3 linked regions of the Stegostoma tigrinum genome follow. The protein of the gene in region 2 binds, or shares a complex with, the protein of the main gene of each other region. Links are inferred from orthologs where the notes say so. Each region holds a gene or a part of one and is shown on either strand. Other genes may lie near its edges.

Region 1 (7,709 bases), on a different chromosome or scaffold from region 2:
TTATCCAGTATCGCATGACAAACTTCTGAGGAAAAGTCATGGTATAAAAGGAACAGTAACAATGTGCATACAAAATTGGCAGAGCATTAAGAAATGGAGAATGGTAAATGGGTATATTTTGGGCAGGAAGAATATTTATGGTGAAGCTCCTCAGAGGTCAGTATTGGGGCCCTCATTTTTCCTGACATTATAGAATCCCTACAATGCAGCTAGAGGACTATTGGCCCATTAAGTCTGCATCTACCCTCCAAACAGCATCCTGCCCAGACCCATCACCGCCACTGCAACTGATGACACCTCATGGCTAATGCATCTAGCCTGCATGCTACAGGCCAATTTTACATACTGTGGTAGGAAACCAGAGCACTGGCAGAAACCTACACAGGCTGTCATCCAAGGCTGGAATTGAACTTAGGTCCCTGGCACTGTGAGGAAGCACTGCTAACCACTGTGCCACCATGTCACCCTAACATATTAATGATCTGGATCTTGGTGTGCAGGGGACAATTTCAAAGTTTGCAGGTGACACAAAACTCAGAAAAATTGTAAACCGTGAGGAGGATAGTCTGGAGCTCCAAAAGGACATTAACCAGTTTGATGGAGTGGGTTAATTGGTGGTAGATGAGGTTCAATACAGAGAAGTATATTTTGGTAGGAATATCATTGAAAGATAATGTAAAATTGGGGGTACGATTCTAAAGAGGGTGCAGGAGCAGAGGGACCTCTGTGTATATGTATAAGAATCATTGAAGGACAAGTGGAGAGAGCAGTAATAAAGCATACAGTGCCCTAGCCTTTATTAAAAATAGCACACAGTAAAAGGAGTTGATGTTGAACTTGTACAAGACACTCGTTTAACAGTGTGGGCATTACATTGCAGGAAACATGAGAATACATTGGAAAATATTCAGAAACAATTCACAAGAATGACTCCAGGAATGAGGAATTTTCAGTTATGAAGATAGGCTGAAGAAGTTGAGACTATGCTCTTTGGAGAGAAGAAGGCTGAGAGGAAATTTAATCAAGGTTTTCAAAAAATATGACCAAATTAGAGAGAGTAGATAGAGAGAAGCCATTTCTGTTCATAAAAGGAACACAAACAAGAGGGACAACAAGATGTAGAGCTGGATGAACACAGCAAGCCAAGCAGCATCAGAGGGGCAGGAAAGCTGTCGCTTCTGAAGAAGGGTCGAGGCCCAAAACATCAGCTTTCCTGATCCTCTGATGCTGCTTGGCCTGCTGTGTATATCCAGATCTGCACCTTGTTATCTCAGATTCTACAGCACCTGCAGTTCCTACTATCTCAAGAACAAGAGGGAATAGTTTTAAAGCGATGTACAAAAAAAAGCAAGGGTGATGTGAGAAAAATACTGTTTCACTCAGCAAGTAATTAGGATATGGAAGGCAGTACCTGGAAGTGTGGTGAAGGCAAATTTAGTTGAGACATTCAAGAGAGTGTTGGATGATTGTTTGTATAGAAATGGTGTGCAGTGATATGAGTAAAAGGCAGAAGATTGGCTTGAGGTAATGATGCTCATTTGAAAAGTTAGTGTAGACATGATGGACCAAAGGGCCTCCTTCTGTACCATAACAATTCTATGATTCAGTATTAATGTCAAAAAGAGTTCACAATTGCATCCACAACTTATATTTTACAGATAAAGGCAGTCTGAAGGAGAGGTTATGGTCTCGGTATCCCTGGAACCTGTAAGTTTGCTTGACAGAATTGTCCTCCTTCCTTCAAACCAACAGGGACACTCAGTTGAAAATTCGCTTAACTGATGCAATCAGGGGTGAAATGTCCAGATGGAGCTGAGAACGCTTATCTGTAACAAGCCCTAGCTGTCCTTCTTTGGGGCACGTAATCACATTATCAAGATAATGGGAAAAGACAGGATTACTTAGAACAGGAGGGAAGCTACTAGCGTACAGATGAGTTGGTGTTATTGAATATGCAAGTGTCATGTTGAAGAAACAAGTGAAACAGATCCACATTTTTGCTGTCCTTCCTCCCAAAGCTGATCATATCCAAGAGATGTATCAAAATGGTGCTGAAATTGCAACAGTAATTGGTCAATTTCAGTGATATTGCCCCTATGGGCAGCAGGAACAGAAAACCCATCAAGCACAATTGCATTTCCCCTTTCATCAATAGATAAAGTACAGATCTGATCAAGGTGACGACAATGCTGATGCCCTGAACCACAATTCTATCTCATGAAAGGAAGCCTATCTCTGCCATGTGACAGGGAATTACGAATGATATCATCAAATGTAAAAAATGTCTACTACCATTGAGGAATAGGAATTTTTATATGGAGCCAGATTTTGGTTCTGCTCTATGAAGACAATTGTTTTATATTAAGAGGTCAGAAAGTCATAAGAGGATGCAGTTTCCAAGTAAGCATGTAATTCACATATGTGCCCAGCAGGATATACCTGTGACGTTAATGACTAAAATATTTATACTGCCACATTTACAACGGATGGAGAAAACAGATCAAGCATCATTAGATTAGCATGGTTTCAGTTCAAAACGATCAGAAATTTAGTACACATGACCAAGAGAGGTGAAAATGTGGAAGTCACTGCCACAGGCTGAAGTGACTAATATTATGCAAATAAGGCAAGATTTGATATTCATGAAAGAAAAAAATTGAATTGACAACTATTGGGGAGGAAATGGCCTCGTGGTACTGTCTCTGGATTAACAATCCAGCAATACTGAGATACTGTTCTGAGGACCTGTGTTCAAATCCTGCCACAGCAAATGGTGCAATTTGAATTCAATTAAAACAAAATCTAAACTAAGAATCCTGAGATGAACATGAATCCATTGTCAATTCTTGGGGGAAAAAACCCAGTGATGCCCTCATCCTGTAAATGAATGAAAATAAAACTATAGAGATCAATTAGGGCATGTGATGGCCTAGTAGTATTATTGCTGCATTGTTAATCCAGAGATCCAGCTAATGTTCTGGGGACCTCGGTTTGAATCCTGCCACGGCAGATGATGGAATTTGAATTCAATAAAAATCTGGAATTAAGTCTAATGATCACTATGAATCCATTATCAATTGTTGGGAAAAACCTATCTGGTTCACTAACACCCTTTAGGGAAGGAATCTCCAATCCTTACATTTGTGTTGCCACTTTCGGCAGCTATAGACTTGCAACCCAAGATCCCTCCATATATCAGTGTTCCTAAAGGCCCTGGCATTAACTGTATAATTTTATCTTGCATTTGATCTCCCAAAATGCATCATCTGACACCTTTGGAGTTCTTTCTGATTATTCCTATTATTCTTCTAATATCATCCCCATTACATACCTGATCCCAGTCCTACTTCCTATGCCATCCCTAAACCCCTTTCCATACATCCCATGTATTTCCACTCATGGTGTTCCCATCCCAGATTTCTCTCTTATGCTGTCCTCCACTTTCCACTCAATGCTGTCCCTCATTCCTGGCTGACTGCTTTTGTTCAGTGAGGTTTGTCTGCATCACTCTGTTGCTTTCCAATTATAGAAAGACAATTAGAAAATTTAGATATTTTAAAACTTAATTGTAACATTTAAGTACCCAGGAACCAGCTAAGAAATACACACACTAACAGATGCAAACCTTAAACTGATCAATAAACAGAGTCTTGACAGATGAAGACTGTTAATAACATAGGTTACAACTTTGGTAAAAGGCGAAATGAGGAAGGGTCCCAATCAACTTTCCTGCTCCTCAGATGATGCCTGGCCTGCTGTGTTCCTCCAGCTCCACACTGTGTTATCGCTGACTCCGGCATCTGCAGTTCTTACTATCTCTTATAATGAACTACAATATAGTCCACCTTGTCTTCACCTCCAACCCACTAGTGTTCACTTTCAATGATCATTCTTAATCATTTATGCCACCCATACTGTTACAGCAAACCTTATTCCTCACCTTTCCCCATTCAGGATTCTGACAGAACCGTTGTCTCCTAGGTCTACTGGTCCATCATGCCACATGGCAAAGCAGGCTCTATAGTTCCTCAAGATTAAGGACCCAAAACACAACCTTCAGTTGAAACAGTTCTTATATTTCTTTCAATTTTTAATAAGTGTTCACTGTTTATGAACTAGTTTTCTCTGCTTGGGAAAACTAAACACATATATGTTATAGAGATAGTAGGAACTGCCGCTGCTGGAGAATCTGAGATAACAAGGTATAGAGCTGGATGAACACAGCAGGCCAAGCAGCATCAGAGGAGCAGGAAAGCTGATGTTTCGGGTCTAAACCTTTCTGAAGAAGGGTTCCCACCTGAAACGTCAGCTTTCCTGCTCCTCTGATGCTGCTTGGCTTGCTGTGTTCATCCAGCTCTACACCTTGTTATCTCAGATTCTCCAGCATCTGCAGTTCCTACTATCTCAGTACAAGAAAAGTTCTGCTTTTAAATCTATTTCAGATTTTTATTTGTTTGAAGAGCTCACTAAAATCAATGCTAAATTTCCCTTCGGAAAGACACATCAGTGAAGTTTCATTAGCAAAGAAAGTGTTAAAAACCGTACGATGGTTTTAACCTGAGACTTTCTAAGATCATTCCTGGCTGAACTTGGAGCCTTTACGACAATTGGCGGTCATTTACGACCGTTTGGGACATACGGCAGTGTGGCAGGGACCTGAGCGGTGGGGGGACATTTTAGCTTCTTGCGACAGTGCTGATATGGATGTGGGCGAATTGCTGAACTATCAGGTGAGGCAGCAGCTTCTCCTCCTTCTTTCGGGCCCCCTGTCTACGCTCAGTCAGTCTAAGCCGCTCCATATCCCCACTCCGGCCGGTTCCGAGACAAGCGAGGCCGCAGAGCCTGGCACTCGAGTTGTGGCTGCATCGCCAGTAACTGACAGGGAGCCCTCTTTTTCCTGCCACACGATTTCGAGTTCACGTGGGGCTCCATCGTTGATCAATTTTAGGTTCTATCAGCTCCACAGGTGTGTAATGACGTCTCTGATCAGGTTGATTCAAAAATATCAATAAACCATCTTTCCATAGCCACAATATTACAGTCATCAGCCCCAGCTTAGGAGTTTCACCTTCTAATTGAATCGCTTTAAAATTCCTGATACAGAGAGGTGACATATTTGTCAAACAACAGGCCACTGTGCCTGGCATAGTGATGAGAAGTTATTCCATGATGTTAATTTTCAGTACTATAATGTAGAAATATTAAATACAAAACACATATGGCACATAACATCTTGCCCGTCATAAGATGGAAAACAGAATTGCTGTAGTACTGAAATATAATCTTAGTGTGTGACAGTGAAGTGCGAGAAAGGTTCACGTGAGGGTAAACTTAGAAGGTTAAAAAAAGGGTGAAACAGTGATGCAGGATTGCAGCTTTGATAATGATGACTAGAGTGTGTCAAGTGGAATAGAACACAAATATAGGAGTATACTGGCAAGATGATTTTTTTTGGCTAATGTGAATTCACATGCAAATATAGTTGTGGATATAAATGGTGAAAAGGCAGATTGAAAATTATTTCTCTAAATGTGCACTGAATGGACAAATTAATAATACAAATACAAATGACTGAGTATAATTTGATTGCCATTGTAGAAATGTGGTTGCAAAATGACTGGCTGGAACCTAAATATTTGAGGATGTTCAACACTTTGGAAAGTCAGGAAGGAGGGTGAGGAATTGGATAACTCTTTTAATAAATAATGAAATCAGTGCAGTTGTGAGAATTGATCTTGATTCAGAGGATCAAGATGTAAAATCAGTTTGGATGGAGATAAGAAATGGTGAAAGAAAGAAGTCATTGGGAGTACATAAGGGTTAAACTGAAGGGTGCATTGTAAATCAAGAAGTAATAGAGTTTATAACAGTCACTCAAAATTGGGGAGACTTCACTCTTCATATTAGTTGAAAGCAATAGACAAAAATTGCCTGGGGATGAACATTGTATTTTGAACAGTTTCTTGGGGTTCTTTCTGTAACCAAACAGGAAACATTATTTGAGGCCTGGTATTGTGAACTGTAGGCTTGTAAAACAAATGATGTAGCCACATTACAGGGCAGACATTAATGATGTCCAGCATGCAACAGGAGGGATAAGTGTACAAACGTAGAAAAACATCAGCAAATAGGGTCAAAGGGACAAAAGTGATTAGCAAAACTGATGGTTCCACGCTTGAATGCACATAGTATTTTGAACAAAATAAATGAGTTAATGGCACAAATAGAATTTATTGGGTATGGCCTTGCAGCCACTGTGGAGATATGGTTACAAAGAAGTTAGTATAGGGAACTGTGTATTATGGGATAAATGTCTTTTCAAAAGGAGAGGCAGGAGGGAAAGGGTGGTGGGGTAGCATTGTTGGTATAGGATGGAATAGATGCAAAAGCAAGAAATGATCTTGGATTAGAAAATGTAGAATCCAAATGAGGATGGAGGTAAGAAATATCAAGGAGGAGAAGACATTGACAGGAGTAATATTTTGGCCTCTTAACAGTAGCAATATAACAGGACTGAGAATAAATCAGGAGCTAATGACTATGTAAAAAAGGTAGTATATCAATCATAGAATCCCCAATGAGGCCATTTGGCCCATTAAGTCGGCACTAACTCTCCATAGTGTCCCATAGACCGCTTCCCTGCATTCGTCATAGCTAAACTACCTAGGCTACACGTCCTTGAAGACTATAGACAATTTAGCACCCATCCATATCTTTGGACTGCGGGAGGAAACTGGAGCACCCAGTGGAAAACCACGCAGACACGTGGAAAATGTGTGGAGTTTGCACAGTCACCTGAGGCTGAAATCAAATCCGGGTTCCTGGTGCTGTGAGGCAGCACTGATAACCACTGATCCACCATGCCACTCTGGGTGAATTTAATCTGCATGTGGGTTGCAATGTTAGATTTGCAGAGGTAACCAGGAGGAAGAATTCAGAGCATATTTGGACAGTTTCCCTGAACAATATGTTGCGGGTCTAACTAGGGATCAGGCTGTTTTAGATTTGATGTATAATGACAGGTTTATTAAATTATCTCAGAGTAAAGGATCTCCTAGAAAACAGTAACCATACATGGTAGAATTTAGAATTTAATTTGAAAGGGAGAACTTGGGTCAGAAACAGCTATGTTAAATCTAAGGGTAATTACAAAGAAATAAGGGCAGAATCAGTTGTTGTGGACTAGAAAAGAAGTTTAGCAGAGAAAACCTGAGTATACTTTTAAGAATATAGTTCATCAGTTGAAAAACACATTGCAGTGATAAAGGAGGGTTCCAGGAAGGGAATTAGCCAAGCGTAGGGGTTTTAAGGATAGCATCAGATTGAAAGCAGAAATATAATATGGCAAAGATTAGTGGTAGGCCAGAGATTTGGGAAAGTTTAGAAAACTGCAAGAAGTGACCAACATAAAAATGAGGGATTAAATAAACCTGAAAGCTAACTTGCAAGAAGTATTAAACTTGACATCAAGTTTATTTTTAATATACTAAAAGGAAGAGAAAGGCCAAAGTGAGCACAGCTCCCTAAGTGGAAGAGGCTGGGGAAGTAATACTAATGTGGAACTGGGACATGGTAGAGGAGTTGAATAAATACTTTGCACCAATCTTCACCGTAGAAGACACTAATAATGTTCCAAAAATACTGAATGATCAAGGAGAAAAAGGGGGAAATGAAATAAATCCAATAACCATCACGAAAGAAAATGTACT
Region 2 (7,634 bases):
AACTGTAGAAACTTATTTTTTCAAATCAACCTGTTTGGATATGTTATTACACACCTCTACAGCAGGAGGGACTTAAACCTGGGCCTCATGGTCTAATGGTCTGGACACTGCCACTGCACTAGAACAGGGCACGCTGAAACTAGAGACCATTTTGTGTCATTGCTTATCCATGACTTGGTTACAAAAATGAGGCAAAGAATTAAATAAGGAACTATTAGAAACTGCAATAAAAGCAATATAAAAATTGGTGGGATATATACCGAACTAATATCAAGTTGTCAAAAGCAGTTGAGGAAGATGAATTTCTAGAATGTTTTCATGTTGGCTTCCTGAAACAAAACCTATGGTGTTATTCCACAACGTAAAAGTTACTTTATATCTAATATTCTGCAACAGAATGTCTGCCGGCACCCCCAAGATGTGCATGGGCAATAACACTGCCAGTACTGCTAATATCATTACGCACGTTTGCTTTTATTCATTGTGCTTATTTGGGCACCACGTGTTTTACCAAGAAAGCATTTCATTAAGTATGTGCAGAACTTTCCACACATGGAATGTGAACCTTTCAGGGGTATCATGAGAGTCTTCGTTCAGTGGGGTAAGGTTAATTAATAATCTCAAAGTAAAAGATCAGGTGGGAAACAGTAATCATAACACAACTGAATCACATACTTGGCTTGAAAGCAACATACTTAGATTGCAATTAAGAATTAAATTTAAAAAATAAAGCCAATTACAAAAGGAGTTTCAAAGCCATGAGATCATATTGCAGCTATACAAGAGTCTGGTGCGGCTGCACTTGGAGTATTGCGTACAGTTCTGGTCGCCCCATTGTACGAAGGATGTGGAAGCATTGGAAAGGGCGCAGAGGAGATTTACCAAGATGTTGCCTGGCATGAAGGGAAGGTCTAATGTAGAAAGGCTGAGGGACTCGAGGCTGTTTTCGTTAGAGAGAAGTTTAACAGGCAACTTTAATAGAGACATGCAAGATGATGAGAGGATCTGACAGGGCGGACAGTGACAGCCTTTTTCCTGGGATGGTGATAGCTGGCACGAGGGGACAAACGTTTAAATTGAAGGGTGATAGACATGGGACAGATGTCAGAGGTAGGTTCTCTGCTCAGAGTAGTAAGTGTGTGGAATGCCCTGCCTGTAACAGGAGTAGACTCGCAACTTTAAGGGCATTTAAATGGTCATTGGATAAACATATGGATGATAATGGAATAGTGTAAGTGGAATGGGCTTCAGATTGGTTTCACAGGGTGGCACAACATTGAGGGCTAAAGGGCCTGTACCGCACTGTAATGTTCTATGTTCTATTAGGAACAAGTTGGCAAAGATCGATTAGGTGAAAAGACTGATATGCACAGTAGTAAACAAATAGTTGGAATCAATTAAAGAAACAACTCAACACAGCCAACGAAAATAAAAAGCATCTTGCAAATAACAGTAATTCTGACAACTACCAGCACTTAAGAAATCAGGAAAAGGTGACCAAAAATTGAGAGAGAAAATGGAGGAGAGATGGGGAGCGAAGGGAGTAGGGGGATGGGGGCGGGGGGGGATGGGGGGAGGGGGGGGATGGGGGCGGGGGGGGGGGGATGGGGGCGGGAGAGATGGGGGCGGGGGGGGAGAGATGGGGGCGGGGGGGGGAGAGATGGGGGCGGGGGGGGGAGAGATGGGGGCGGGGGGGGGAGAGATGGGGGCGGGGGGGGGAGAGATGGGGGCGGGGGGGGGAGAGATGGGGGCGGGGGGGGAGAGATGGGGGCGGGGGGGGAGAGATGGGGGCGGGGGGGGGAGAGATGGGGGCGGGGGGGGGAGAGATGGGGGCGGGGGGGGGAGAGATGGGGGCGGGGGGGGGAGAGATGGGGGCGGGGGGGGGAGAGATGGGGGCGGGGGGGGAGAGATGGGGGCGGGGGGGGAGAGATGGGGGCGGGGGGGGAGAGATGGGGGCGGGGGGGGGAGAGATGGGGGCGGGGGGGGGAGAGATGGGGGCGGGGGGGGGAGAGATGGGGGCGGGGGGGGGAGAGATGGGGGCGGGGGGGGGAGAGATGGGGGCGGGGGGGGGAGAGATGGGGGCGGGGGGGGGAGAGATGGGGGCGGGGGGGGGAGAGATGGGGGCGGGGGGGGAGAGATGGGGGCGGGGGGGGAGAGATGGGGGCGGGGGGGGAGAGATGGGGGCGGGGGGGGAGAGATGGGGGCGGGGGGGGAGAGATGGGGGCGGGGGGGGGGAGAGATGGGGGCGGGGGGGGGGAGAGATGGGGGCGGGGGGGGGAGATGGGGGCGGGGGGGGGGGAGATGGGGGCGGGGGGGGGGAGATGGGGGCGGGGGGGGGGAGATGGGGGCGGGGGGGGGGAGATGGGGGCGGGGGGGGGGAGATGGGGGCGGGGGGGGGGAGATGGGGGCGGGGGGGGGGAGATGGGGGCGGGGGGGGGGAGATGGGGGCGGGGGGGGGGAGATGGGGGCGGGGGGGGGGAGATGGGGGCGGGGGGGGGGAGATGGGGGCAGGGGGGGGGAGATGGGGGCAGGGGGGGGGAGATGGGGGCAGGGGGGGGGAGATGGGGACAAGGTTGGGGTGGCAGAGGGGTGCAAGGTGGAGGCAGGGGTGTAGGTGGGGGCAAGGTGGGGGTGGGGAATGGGGGCAAGGTGGGGGTGGGGAATGGGGGCAAGGTGGGGGTGGGGAATGGGGGCAAGGTGGGGGTGGGGAATGGGGGCAAGGTGGGGGTGGGGGTGAAGGAAGAACAAGGGAGGGGGATGTGGGTAGGGAGACAATGGGGATGCCGTGTTCAATAGCAGCTGTTGGTGGAGGCTACAGCCCCGAGGCCCACGAAAGGACATTTCATTGCCGCTGTCGATCAGAATGATCACAGTCCCCCGGCTGACCAGACGTATTCGCCCCGACCCAGGCACTCACCGCCTCTCGGACCCCCGGCGCATCGTAACCCTGATCAAAATACGGCAACGCGTCCACCACCACATCGCCGGCCACCGCCAGCGGCCCCGCCATCTTGAGCGCCCTCAGCTCACCGCGCCTGCGCGCCTGGTAACCCCCATCCAGAAGCGCGTCCAGAATCCCACCGCTGAAGGTCTGCCTGCGCCTGCGCGCTGAATGCTGCCGTCCCTTCGGAGCATGCGCGCTTTGTATCAACTTGCAGCTATATCCCTCACTGGGTGAAGTGTTGGCAGGGTGCAATTGGGGTGTCCTCCTTAGATCACTCTTCGTTGGCCACCCTGACCAGCAGCTCCCTCAATATGAACCTGAAAACAATAATCACTGTACCAAAGTAATAAAATGTGAGGCTGGATGAACACAGCAGGCCCAGCAGCATCTCAGGAGCACAAAAGCTGACGTTTCGGGCCTAGACCCTTCATCAGAGGGTCTAGGCCCGAAACGTCAGCTTTTGTGCTCCTGAGATGCTGCTGGGCCTGCTGTGTTCATCCAGTCTCACATTTTATTATCTTGGATTCTCCAGCATCTGCAGTTCCCATTATCACCAATCACTGTACCAAAGTTTTCCGAAGAAGTGTCCCAGCCCGAAAAGTTAGCTTTCCTGTTCCTCTGATGCTGCTTGGCCTGCTGTGTTGATCAGCTCTACACCTTATTACTACAAAAGTTAATGCTGTTTATCTATAACATGCATTGCAGAAATTCACCAAGGCTCCTTGGACAGCACCTACCAAACCCGCCACCACTTCAGAATTAAATGCACACCTCAAGCACGGCACAACAAAATTTCCTATTTAACCATGTATTCCCACATAGAACATGGAACGTAGAACAATATCGCGTAAAACAGGCCCTTCGGCCCTCGATGTTGCGCCGACCTGTGAACTAATCTAAGCCCCTCCCACTACACAATCCCATCATTATCCATAATTTTACATCATTTGTGTATGTGATTGACCACGCATGAGCAGTGGCATTTGTCAGCAATAACTGAAGACCCTCTAGCCAGTTTATGCATGCATAGGTGGCCAAAGTGATAATTTTATCTGTTTTTGACCCAATTACTCTGTTTTTAAAGTTGCTGCTTGGCATAATGTCAATATCAAGTGTTGTAAAGCATAGGTTGACCCCCCCCCCTCCCCCCACCATGAGAACAAAAACCAAAACACCTAAAGAGGACCACCTCAGCCTATAATCTGTTAAGGGTGTAACCTGTCTTTCAGAAGTTTATAATGGTTAACTCAAGTATCCCTGACATTCATTTTACAATCAACAATTCATTTATCTAACTAATACTGAATAAATTAACTAAAGTATTAACAAACTGAACAAATCCCTTCTGACAGCTAACTATTCCTAAATAAAGCAAGATTTTAATGGTATGCTGTTCCAATAAATATAAGACCCATTTATATGACAAATCAATTGAATTTAGTCTCACAAAATTACAACCAGTTTATGCCTTCCAGAATGTTCTGTGTGTTCTCCATTGATTCTTCTGTCAGGAACCTTAGCTAGGAGTGCCATGGTACCGTTGTGAATAGATGGTGTTTCTCTAAGAGCTGAGAGCTGTTATCTCTAGCAGATAGCGGTTAGCTCTGCCAATTTTCCAACTGCTACCTTCTTGTATACACCTATGACTTATCAATTTCTTACAACTGGAATGGTCCTAGATTGTCAAGGCCGTCAGATTCAAATTTAATAGGTTTTTGATATCTAAGTACCAAGTTCAAATTGATTGGCTAAATTCAAAAATCTGCTTCCTTGGTAAAAATGCTGCTTGGCCTGCTGACGGTACAGCTTTGTGACGCAAATGTTTCAATTCAGGCGTTCTCTGTTCTTGCAAGGTTTCAAGCTGCTCACAGACATCTCTAAGCATAGAAAAAGCACAACCTATTAAAAGACCACCCAATGCTTTGTCCCCTAGCATTTTACAAACATTAAATTCTGCAAACACTAAATTCTAATGTGTTGCCTCCCAATTCATAGCTACTCTACCCAACCACACCACATGAGCCAAAACAAGGCTTGTAACCTTAATTTGAAATTAGAGCTGGGCCTTTCATGGAGTATAACAGTGGTGTTTCTCCAAAATGTAGTTGAAGCTGGGAGTCAATTGGAAGTGTCAAAATTGAAGCTGATCAAACTTTGCTCGGTAAGGTATCAATGGGTATGGAACAATGAAATTGAGATACTGACCTGGTTTGATAAGCAGAAATTGGAATAGGCCTGTGGTAATTGGAATGAGATTATTCAGCTGGATCTCAGAATATGAGCTCCCTGGTTGAGGCTGTTAATCTGGTCCAATAAGGGAGCCCTGGCAGACAGATAAAGAAGGGTGAGTGTCAGAGATACTGACAGTCTGGTGCCTGAATCTGTATGAGGCGGGACCATAGCCAAAGACTGTAAATAAAGGTCACTTGGTGATGGATAACAGCCTCAAGGCCTACTTAATGATCTGCTCCTAAATATATGCGTTTAATAGCAAGAAGCGCCATTGTGAAAGTTGCAAATATAAATGCTGCTCTTGAAGGTTATAGCTTCTGGTCATAACAAGGTCAGGCAGTTAGCTGGCCAATACTCAGGTGTTTCTGTTCGTGTGAGGGCAATTCTGTTCACAACCAAACTTACTTATTTACTGTGATGGACTGGGCTTCCTTAGGAATCACACTGAAGAATGGTAAATAATGAAATCAATATATTTTTCAGATTTTGAATTATGAGTACATTTAATATGTACAACACATTGCAATTGGCACAACTGATGCTAAACATTCTTATATGACAAGTAACAAAACAGAACATGCTCCCTCAAGTTCCCTGACTCATAATTGTTAAACTCCCAAAGTTACCTAAGATTTGGTTGGGAGAGGTAGAGTAACATAGCAATGGATTGAGTATTCTGCAGTCAAGTTGTGTCTTTTCTGGTCATAGTACTCCTGTTCTTTAGGTTATGTAACTTCCTTTGCTCCTTATTGTTGAGAAAGAAAGAGAGAGAGAGAAACCGCTCTGATTTATCAATCTTGCAGACCTCTGTGCCTCATGTTCCTTCCTTCCTTTCTGTATTGATTGTCATGACGGCAGCCAGATGGGCCTTATAAAATATGAGTTCCCTGATTGGGGCTGTTCATCTGGCCGAATGGCGAAGGTCCTGCCTGACAGACAAAAGCAGGAGTGCCAGACATCCTGTTCAATCTGAGAGTTGGCTCTGAGGCAGTTGGATCAGTGTCAAAGACTCTCCATGTGTAAATAAGCGGTGACTTGCTGATGGGATATCAGTCTATGTGAAGTTAATTCACTGGTAATGAGATTAAAGCACACTCCTGAAGAAATTCACTCCCAACAGTCATTTCTGAGTGAGAGTAAGCATTTGCAGCATCATGCTGCTATTGGCAAAGCTTGACTTATTCAATCCTGCTATTGAAGACTGGGCCCAGTATGTGGAAAGAATGCATTTTTTTTTTCTGGCCAAGTGACATTGTGGCAGGCGAAAAGCAATTAGTAATTCTCCTTACAGCTTGTGGACACACAGCTTTTTTGGTGATCCTGGCACACAAGCCATTGTATTTGCAGCCAGTGTGCGGACTTCCGCATCCATCGCATTATCCTTCGCCATTTCTGACACCAACAATCTGACCCCCCTCACCAAAGTGATACTTCCCTCCCCACCCCTATCTGCCTTTTTTAGGGACTGCTCACTCCACGACTGCTTCGTCCACTCCATACTCCCCACTAACATCACCACACATGGCACCGTTCCCAGCAACAGCAGGAGCTGCTACACCTGCCCTTACACGTTCCGTCTCACGTCTGTCCAAGGTCCCAAACAATCTTGTCAATTTTGACTGGGATTCACCTGTGCATCCTCCAACCTGGTCTACTGTATCCGTTGTTCCTGATATAGCCTCCTCTACATCAATGAGACCAACGCAGACTCGGTGACTGATTCAAGGAGCATCTGTGCTCTGTATGCTCTAAGCAACAGCACCTCCCAGTTTCCAACCATTTTAACTCCCTCTCCCACTCTCTGGGTGACATGTCCATCCTGGGCCTCCTTCAGTGTCACAAAGGTGCCACATGCAAGCTGAAGGAACAGCACCTCACATTCTGCCTCAGGAGGCTACAATCTGATGGCCTCTACATAGAAATCACCAGTTTCAAAATCTCCTCACCCCCGGCCTCACCCCATGTCCAACCCTCCATCTCATCCCTGCCTCCCTGACCAGACACAACTTGTCCATCTTCTTTCCATCTGTCCGCCCCACTCTTCCCACTGACCAATCTCCACAATTCCCTACCTGCATCCACCTCCCACCATCCCACCTACGTTCCACCGGCCCCACCTCCCTATTTATTTCCGAGCTCCTTTCCCCATTCCTGGTGAAGGGTGTAAACCCAAAACATCGACTTCCTTGTTCCACTGATGCTGTCTGACCTGCTGTACTCCTCAAGCTCCATGCTGTGTTGATGTGGTCCTGGTTCCTATATAAATTTAGGACTACTCCTCATGCAACTATCAGGATTGTTCCAGTAGAATGGGGAGAAGACTCTGCACCAGGTTAAATCTGATCTTGGGAAGGATGAGAAGGATGAAACGGCATCAGAAATCTCAATGTTGGGCACAAGACTCCTGTAAGCAAGAGAGACAGTTTACATCAGGGATCAAAGTTTGGTGTAGCAACCA
Region 3 (8,087 bases), on a different chromosome or scaffold from region 2:
TTAACTTGTATCTCTGCAGCCATGACAATTTTGTTTTCAAAACAGTTGAGAGTCTTTAGACTGAACTAGTTCTTATGTAGCTCTGGAGGGTTCACTGAGCAAGGTAAATAATTGTTCCTCAAAGTTCCTACTAGAAAATCATGTTTTTTTTAAGCTTGAAGAGATTGAAACGTTAGAGAGATTTTTTTCAGTTTTACTGTCAGTTTTGGGCAGATCTACATGTGCAAAGTTTTCATGTGCAAAGTTGTTCCAGAAAGGAAAAAGATGGTGGATTTGTTAAAACTATAATGTGGAGGTGCCTGTGTTGGACAAAGTCAGAAGTCACACAACACCATTGTTATTGTCCTGATGAATGGGCTGTGCTTTGAAAGCTTGTGATTTCAAACAAACCTATTGGACTATAACTTAGTACCATGTGACTTCTGACTATGACAGAACTAGACCACCTTGGAGCGATGAGTTAAAGTTCCAGAACGGAAACGTTTGGATAAAATCCTGAACAGGTTACTTGAAATTGAGATAATTAAGCTCAGGCATATGATAGCTCTGGGAAGAAACTACTGTGTTTCCCTGTCAAGAGCTGAAGTCAAATTAGACACATCCAGGTGCAAGAAACTTTCCGGTATGACAGCTGTATAAGGGGGTGCTTCTGCGTACTGTACTGAAGTATTTTAGGATCTGTACAGGAGTCTTTTTAAAAGTTTAATGGAATTATATTTCACTGTATGTTTTAACATCTTTACAGTTTGTGTTACAAGTAAATTGTGTGGTTTACTCTATTTTATTTCCATACATTTTACTTCAAATTTCTGCTTTATGGTTAAAAACAATTTTTAAAAAGATTCATTCATCAAAAGTGGGCATGGTTGGCTGGGCCAGGATTTACTGGCTATTTCTAACAGCACTTATTAAGGTAGCGGTGAGCTGTCCTCTTGAACTGCTTCAGTCCATTTGCTGTTAGCAACGCCATTAGGGAGCAGTTCCAAAATTTTGACCATGCAACACTGGAAGAAAAATAATATATTCCCAAGTCAAGATGATGAATGGCTTGGAGGGGAACTTGCAGGTAGTAGTGGCTGTACGTAACTACAGCCCATGTTGATCTAGATGGTAGTTGGCATGAGTTTGAAAGGTGCTGTCAAGGAGCCTAAGTGAATTTCTGTAGTGCAGCTTTCAGATGGTGTACACTGCTGCTGCTGCAAATCTGTAACACTGTATGCATCCAGGGGTGCATGTTCATTGTTCTTTGAAAATGGAGTCACAGGGAGACAGGGTAATGATGAAGGTGGTTGGTATGCTAGACTTTATTGATCAGTTGGGATGTCATGTTGTGGCTGTACAGGATATTGCTTAGTCCACATTTGGAATACTGCCTTCAAATCTGGTCTTCCTGCTAAACAAAAAATGTTGTGAAAATTGAAAAGGTTCGGAAAAGATTTCCAAGGATGTTCCCAGTGTGAGAGGGTTTGAGCTATGGCCAGAGGCTGAATAGACTAGGTTTATTGTCCCTGGAGCATTAGAGGTTGAGAGGTGACCTTATAGAGGTTTGTAAAATCATGGGGGGGCATGGATAGGGTGAATAGCCAAGGTCTTTTCCCAGGTTAGGGAAGTACAAAGCTCATGGGCATAGATTTAACCTAAGGGGCAACTTTTTCATGCAGAGGGTGGTGCACATATGGAATGAACTGCCAGAGAAAGTGTTGGAGACTCGTACAATTATAACATTTAGAAGGTATCTGCATGGGTATAGGAATGGGGAGGATTTAGACAGTCTGGTCTTAGTCTGGTCAGCATAGACAAATTGGACAAAAGGGCTTGTTTCCATGCTGAATATTTCTATGACTCTAATCCAAACACCAAAACACATTAAGTCAGCTAAATCTGTTTCCAAAATCCATGCGGCAGTTCCTACTGAAACATCAAAACAAACGTGTGTGTAGTGGACAACGTTGCAAAGAGCTCTAAGCAAATCACCTGTGTCTTAAAAACTACCTAATAACAACCAAAAGAGCTGCGGATGCTGTAAATCAGCAACAAAAACAGAAGTTACTGGAAAAGCCGGTCTGGCAGCTTCTGCAAAGAAAAAAATCAGAGTTAACATTTCTGGTCCGTTCACCCTTCCTCAGAACTATTCTGTTAACTTTGATCTTTTCTTCACAGATGTTGCCAGACCTGCTGAGCTTTTCCAGCAACTTCTGTATTTTGTTCTTAAAAGTACCTATCTTTCAAGGGTTAATCAAAATGTAATAATAACAAATGGGGCTTATCAATTTACTGAAGTATACTAAGCCTGTACACGCAAGGAAATTACTTATAAAGGTTTTTCTCCTCATAAATGAAACAAGTTAGCAACAAATCTGTAGTCTAGTTAAAATGGTCTGTTATCAGATGTCAGTTTCCAATAGCTATTCAACGGAACATCACCAACATTATTAAGGAATTTTTGAGTGGTATTTTTCTGTCGTAGACGCATCAATTCTGTCCTTTCCCCAGGTTCGGGTCGGAGGCAGACAAACCCCGTTTTTTGTGAGATTGTCAACAGACTAAACCCATGTGCCCCATCAGGCCCGACTCGGGCCTTCCTACACTCACCTTTACAGCAACATCAGGAGCGGAGTTCAAAGCGAGGGATCCGTGAAGGCGTGACATGGATTTCTTAGGCTCCAGAGGGTGCAGATGAGCCACGGCGTCTCGGCTGGGGAGCTCTCCACATTCACCATCCGAGTCGCTGCCACTGCCGCTGCCGTAAGAGGCCAGAGCCGCAATCGCCGCCGACATTTTCGCGGGCGCCTCTCTCAGAAGATGACGCGCGCTTGCAGATCTAAAACTTAACCAGTCCTCCCCAAGTAAACACCACAGCGTTCACTGACAGGAGTTTCCTTGGCACCGTCTTCACTATTTTAAATGTTGAGAAATTTCTATCGGCGTCAGTCTCACAATATCATCCTCCCGGACTTCAGCGAAACTCCAAGGACTATTATTTACCCCACGGCGGTAAGGCCCAAATTCCCACCTCCGACAATCTGATTGGCTAGCCTGGGAAGGAGTGGGTGAGCCCATCTCGGCAACAACCCTTTGTCCATTGGTTCTGTGCCTTGTCGATCAAAAGACATCACAAAGCTCCCTTCGACCCTTCCTCCTCCGTTCCACAACGCATTCCAATTCGATGGTCTTCCCCCATACCCCTTCCAAACGGCCAGTGCCATTGGGACAATACACGGGAGGATCGCTCAGTGCGTTCAGCCGGATAGCGGTGGACGAAATCCGTTCCGGCAGGCACAGCTGCGTCCGGCGCTTTCTAAGCTCGGCCGTTCTCTGCGATTTGGAAGCCGAAACGCCTCTATTTTCGGATTGAAGAAGCGAACGGGTCCTGCTGCCGCGGGTGCGATGTTCCCCGTGCGTGTCGCCGACGTGCGCCATTCCGGCTGAAGCGGCGGCGGTGTTGTTATCGAGACCGGCGAAAACTTGGGGCGTCAGTAAAAGCGGACCGGTTAGAGCGAAGCTCCCAGACGGCCGCTCGCGGACAATGAAGACGTTATTCTCCAACTGAAAGACGTTCCAATTCATTGTTTTTTTTAAAAAAAAATCTATAGGTCTAGGTATCTCGGAAGATTATATTTTAAAAAAATACTCGAGGCCGGTAAGAGTTTACAGGGTACGTAATTCTAATCTCAGTGAATGAAATGTCGAGCTCTTGGAATTTTATTTATTGTTGCAGTGTTTTTATTTGCTGTGCAAAACAATTGCCTCACAGCAAAGGTGTGTGTTCGGAGAGGGGCTTGCGTTTAGCCATGGTAATTTTTTTTTGCAGTCTACAATCTTACCTTTTTATTTTTCTTCTCCCTCGCCAATTTCTTTCTGTGGTTGCCGAGGCCCCGGCAGGTAGTGATGGTTGGACTGATGGATGGGGCTTGCTCGGGTGCACCTGGGCTTCAGCCCTGAGTCTCTCATTCTCTCCTGCACCACAGTCGGAGCTGCACTGGCCGCAAAAAATCCCGTGTTATCGAGAGTCTGACCTTTCTGCAACTCGCTATAACTCACTGCTCTCTCTCCTGTTCCATTTCAACCACTTAGTTGAGATCGTGAATTTGGATGCGCACTCAATCCCTTCGCAAGAACATGCAGTATAAAGGTGTCGATTGTTTGCAGAAATTTTATTTCAATATTGAGGTTTTCGTGAAGCTGGATGGATGCCCTCGATTTCCACAAAGAATTTGGGAAGGGGGTGTAGCGGGTGGAAGAGAAGATCGGCAAATATTCTGTGACCCTAAGATATTAGATCTCAGCGCGGCAGGGTATTTTATTTTGTGCAATTTATAAACAGAGGCTTACTGTTGAAGTTTTGTCCACTCACGGACAGTAAGTTCATGTTTGTAGGTGCGGTGCCGTCGCATCACGACTGTAACGGTCGCTAATTTTGCAGCGTAGGGAACACATTTGACTAGGATGAATGATAAACGTGCTGATTATTTAGCAATTTTATTGCGAATGACCATGAGCAACTTTTCAGGACTGTCTGCTTTCCTGGCCCCTTGACCTAATGCAGAAAATTATTTGCCTTTACGTTTTGAAAGGCTGTTTATTTTTGCTTTAAACTCTGCCGCCCGCAGTACTCGATTCCCACGCCAGAGGTTGATCGCAGACCTGAGCTCCTGTATTTCACCTCTTCGAAAGACCTTCCCATACGCACCCACCCCCTAACCGCAGTGTTTCAATATTTTGAGCGGAGTAAAGAGAGATCCACGATGAGCGGTTGGAGCGACACTATCTCAATTTGCGCAAAACTTTAAAAGCACAACTTAGTACTTTGGATCCTTTCCTTTCATTAGCACTTCTTATATGCGGTCCGAATAATTGCTCTTCACAGCCGAAGTGGAATTGCAAACGACTTTCAGATAACTCGCTGGGGAAATAATTGCAATACCCTGGAAAAAATGTTCTAGTATAAATCGCTATGCATTTCTGAGACGGGTAACTTTTTTCCAAGCTTAGGGTTTCAAAAGTTGGAGCAGTGACAGATTTGAGCTCGATCCTGTTTCTTAACTTTAAGAACAAATCAATCGGGATGATTTCTGCTGCTGTGCTTTTTTAAAATTTGTATTGTTTTGTAAACTTCAAATCTTCCTGAAGTTAAAACGTAGCGCTTTTCTGCTTATAGAAAAATTTCAGGATCCACTCACTATGACCATACCTTTAACAAAGGAAATGTAGCCAAGAGCTTACACGTTATCAGACAGAAATGGAAATTCAATAGTAATAGGACAAGGAATTTCAAGTAGCTTTTAAGGAGCATCTTGGAGCAGGATAGAAAGCAAGATAGAACACAGTGTGTTTTAAATATGGAATTACAGAGCAAAGACCTGCGACTTTGGTCAATACAGCTACCAGCAATAGGGCAAAACAAAAGGAAAGTGCTCATGAGACTAGAATTGGAAGAACAGAGAGTTCTTGGAGAGCTGTAAGCTTGAAGAACCAAGAAGGTACTTGATGCAAATTCGAAATTAGAGGCATTGTTGAGTTGTGGAGCTTCCAGGGAATGCATGAATGATGCTTGATGCAAGTTGGGAGTTGGCAGTGGTTTCATATGAGCTTAAGGATGGTAAATGAAAAGCCAACCAGGACAGCATGTCTTGTGTAGCAAACTTAGACAGCGTTACCTAAAATTGCACCATTCAACAGCCCATTTTACAGCAATTTACTCATTGATGTCATTGCATGAGGAGTTGGGACCTGAAGAAAATGTGGACCCCTCACCATATGTTCCTCTTCAATGTAAAATGTATAGGTTTCAAATAAGCTAACTAATTACACACAAAAGAACATGGGCTTGTGAGTGTTTTCAACTCTTTGTATGACTGGTGCTGAAACTGTAAACATGGAAGGGCAGAGACAACACAATTTAGATTTAAGGGAGGAGCAGTCTAAAATGAATAATAAAATACCAAAGAAATAACCTTTCAGCAGCATCTAAATTCTCTGCCTAATTTTAGATCCATTTTAACTCGCCATTCTTTCAAGAAACTTATGTATATAGCTTGCATGGTCACGTGCTGAGGTGAAAAGCACGATCAGCAGGACTGAAAGGCTAACGTAACTGTGCATCTTACACTTTTGTTTGGTCTCCTAAAGCAAGTTTTGTTTTGTACCTTGAATAGTTGTATCTTGGGTGCAAATGTAAGGAAATTTCACTATCTTTTATTTTAATTATTCTTGTCTTTATTTCAAGATAGATGCATTTTGTTATTGTGAACTAGCTATTTGAAGATTGAAACTGCTGTGTTAAATTGTTTGGTCGTCTTTTCATCGCAGATGTATGTTAGTTATTGCACTTAGCTACTTGATAATTATGGCTGGCCAGTGTTCACATAAATCTTATAAAATGTTCTAAATTTATGGCAAATAAATTATTTTTGTGCTTGAGTAGGCTGAGAATATAAATGTATGAAAGAAATATTGGCTTTAATGAAATGGAAGTTTTCAAAATACTGAATATGAATGACTTTTAGAAATGTAACTTTTTAAAGAAACATCATGGAGAAGTGTGTGTGTTTAGGAGCATTGTATCGGTCATGTATACTGAAAATGTGTATGGCAAAAAATCTATGAAAACCAGATTTTGCTGTACTAGTCTCATTACACCAAAAAATACTGCCAAGTAATCTTACTTGCAAAGAAAGTTTCTTCAATATTATGCATATAATTATCTTAATATTTAACATGAAAAGATACAATTCAGGAGAATGTTTTGGGAAATTGGATAAGGAGCCAATTTACTTTTTATGATTTTCTGAGGTTGGCTGTTTGTTGACAAATTATATAATTAGGTTTTTATAGATTTGTGCAGATCATTATGAAAGGGCAATGCTTATCCATTAAAAGTACATTTGCAACACAAATACAGTATTGTGAATAAATTATTTCATCTGGCATCTTAAGTGCACGGAGATTTACGTGAAATGCCAAATGTGAAATTATGCCATTTTTGTTATTTTTAATGTGTTGGATGCTTTACTGAAATAAAAGATTGGCTATCGCCTTATCTCATAGTTGGTATGTTGCCAATTAATAATTCATGTTTAAAAACCATGAACAGTATTATTAAGCTTCAGGAGGATTGTAGAAGAGCTATACTGTGCTTTAAGTGAAGTAATGCCATGAGCAATAACAGCTTTGTTTGTCATAAAAGTTAGGCCATTGGCATGATAAATTACACAACTTCCCAACCAATTCTTAATATCATGACTTCTAATTAAAGTTAGATTCTTTCGTTCACTAGCTTTTTTTCCTCAACAAAGTTGCAGTTCCAAGTAGGTTTTGCTATCTATGCGTTCTTGGATTTGGTGGCATGTTACTCCTATAAGAAAATCTTACATTTTCACTTTCCAAAATTGAACAGTGCTAACAAATATTGATTTCAGAGGGCAGTTTAGACTGCTGTGTTGCTGTTGGTCTCAAATCACATGTAGACCTGACCGGGTAAGGAAGAGAGATTTACTTCCCTTAAGGACATTTAGTCAATTGACAATGGTTATAGAATTTCTCTCAATTCCAGAGTTTTTTTAAAAATTGAATTTAAATTTATCTATTTGAAAACTTGCTTAGGGTCTGAATTAACTAGTTAAGTGACATCACAATTATGCCACCATTAGTGATACTTGTCAAAACAAATAAATATTGCTTCATGTTGTTCTGTCAGCTCAGATCACGATCATTCTTCAAACTGCATCCATTTGGCTGGTTTGATTCTGATCATGTGTTCTGCTGTCCTTTTTCAGTTGGGGGTGGTACACTAGCTCTTTCAACAATTATGCCCACTGAGCTCAACTAAATAGAGTTATCTTGAACAGAATAGTGGAAAATGAACAATCAGTGAAATGTCCAAGGTAACCTACATTGTGTGGAGGGCACTGATTCAAACATCCTTTTTGAATTCAAACGTGGAACTCTTCCCCACAATCCTGCTGCTCTATGAATTTGACCTACTGAGATCTGTTTAATCTAGCATAGGTATTTTTAATTTGTTATTCCATGGAACATCTGTGGCACTGTATCAGAAGCTCAGGTTCAACTGTGTTTTTGTTCAGCAT

What was found.
Region 1: bcas2 (region 2) and ctnnbl1 share a complex: the UniProt entries of both Homo sapiens proteins name them as parts of the PRP19-CDC5L splicing complex. The link is inferred for Stegostoma tigrinum from reciprocal best matches to the Homo sapiens genes BCAS2 and CTNNBL1.
Region 3: bcas2 (region 2) and cdc40 share a complex: the UniProt entries of both Homo sapiens proteins name them as parts of the postcatalytic spliceosome P complex. The link is inferred for Stegostoma tigrinum from reciprocal best matches to the Homo sapiens genes BCAS2 and CDC40.

What each region holds. Positions count from the first base shown.
Region 1 is NC_081372.1:47,970,321-47,978,029, reverse strand, and holds the start of ctnnbl1 (beta-catenin-like protein 1), read left to right. Parts: upstream 1-4,627; 5' UTR 4,628-4,700; coding exon 4,701-4,730; intron 4,731-7,709. UniProt on the Homo sapiens protein: Component of the PRP19-CDC5L complex that forms an integral part of the spliceosome and is required for activating pre-mRNA splicing.
Region 2 is NC_081374.1:41,696,137-41,703,770, forward strand, and holds the start of bcas2 (pre-mRNA-splicing factor SPF27), read right to left. Parts: upstream 3,055-7,634; 5' UTR 3,011-3,054; coding exon 2,918-3,010; intron 1-2,917. UniProt on the Homo sapiens protein: Required for pre-mRNA splicing as component of the activated spliceosome. Component of the PRP19-CDC5L complex that forms an integral part of the spliceosome and is required for activating pre-mRNA splicing.
Region 3 is NC_081357.1:25,293,314-25,301,400, forward strand, and holds the start of cdc40 (pre-mRNA-processing factor 17), read right to left. Parts: upstream 3,019-8,087; 5' UTR 2,779-3,018; coding exon 2,593-2,778; intron 1-2,592. UniProt on the Homo sapiens protein: Required for pre-mRNA splicing as component of the activated spliceosome. Plays an important role in embryonic brain development; this function does not require proline isomerization.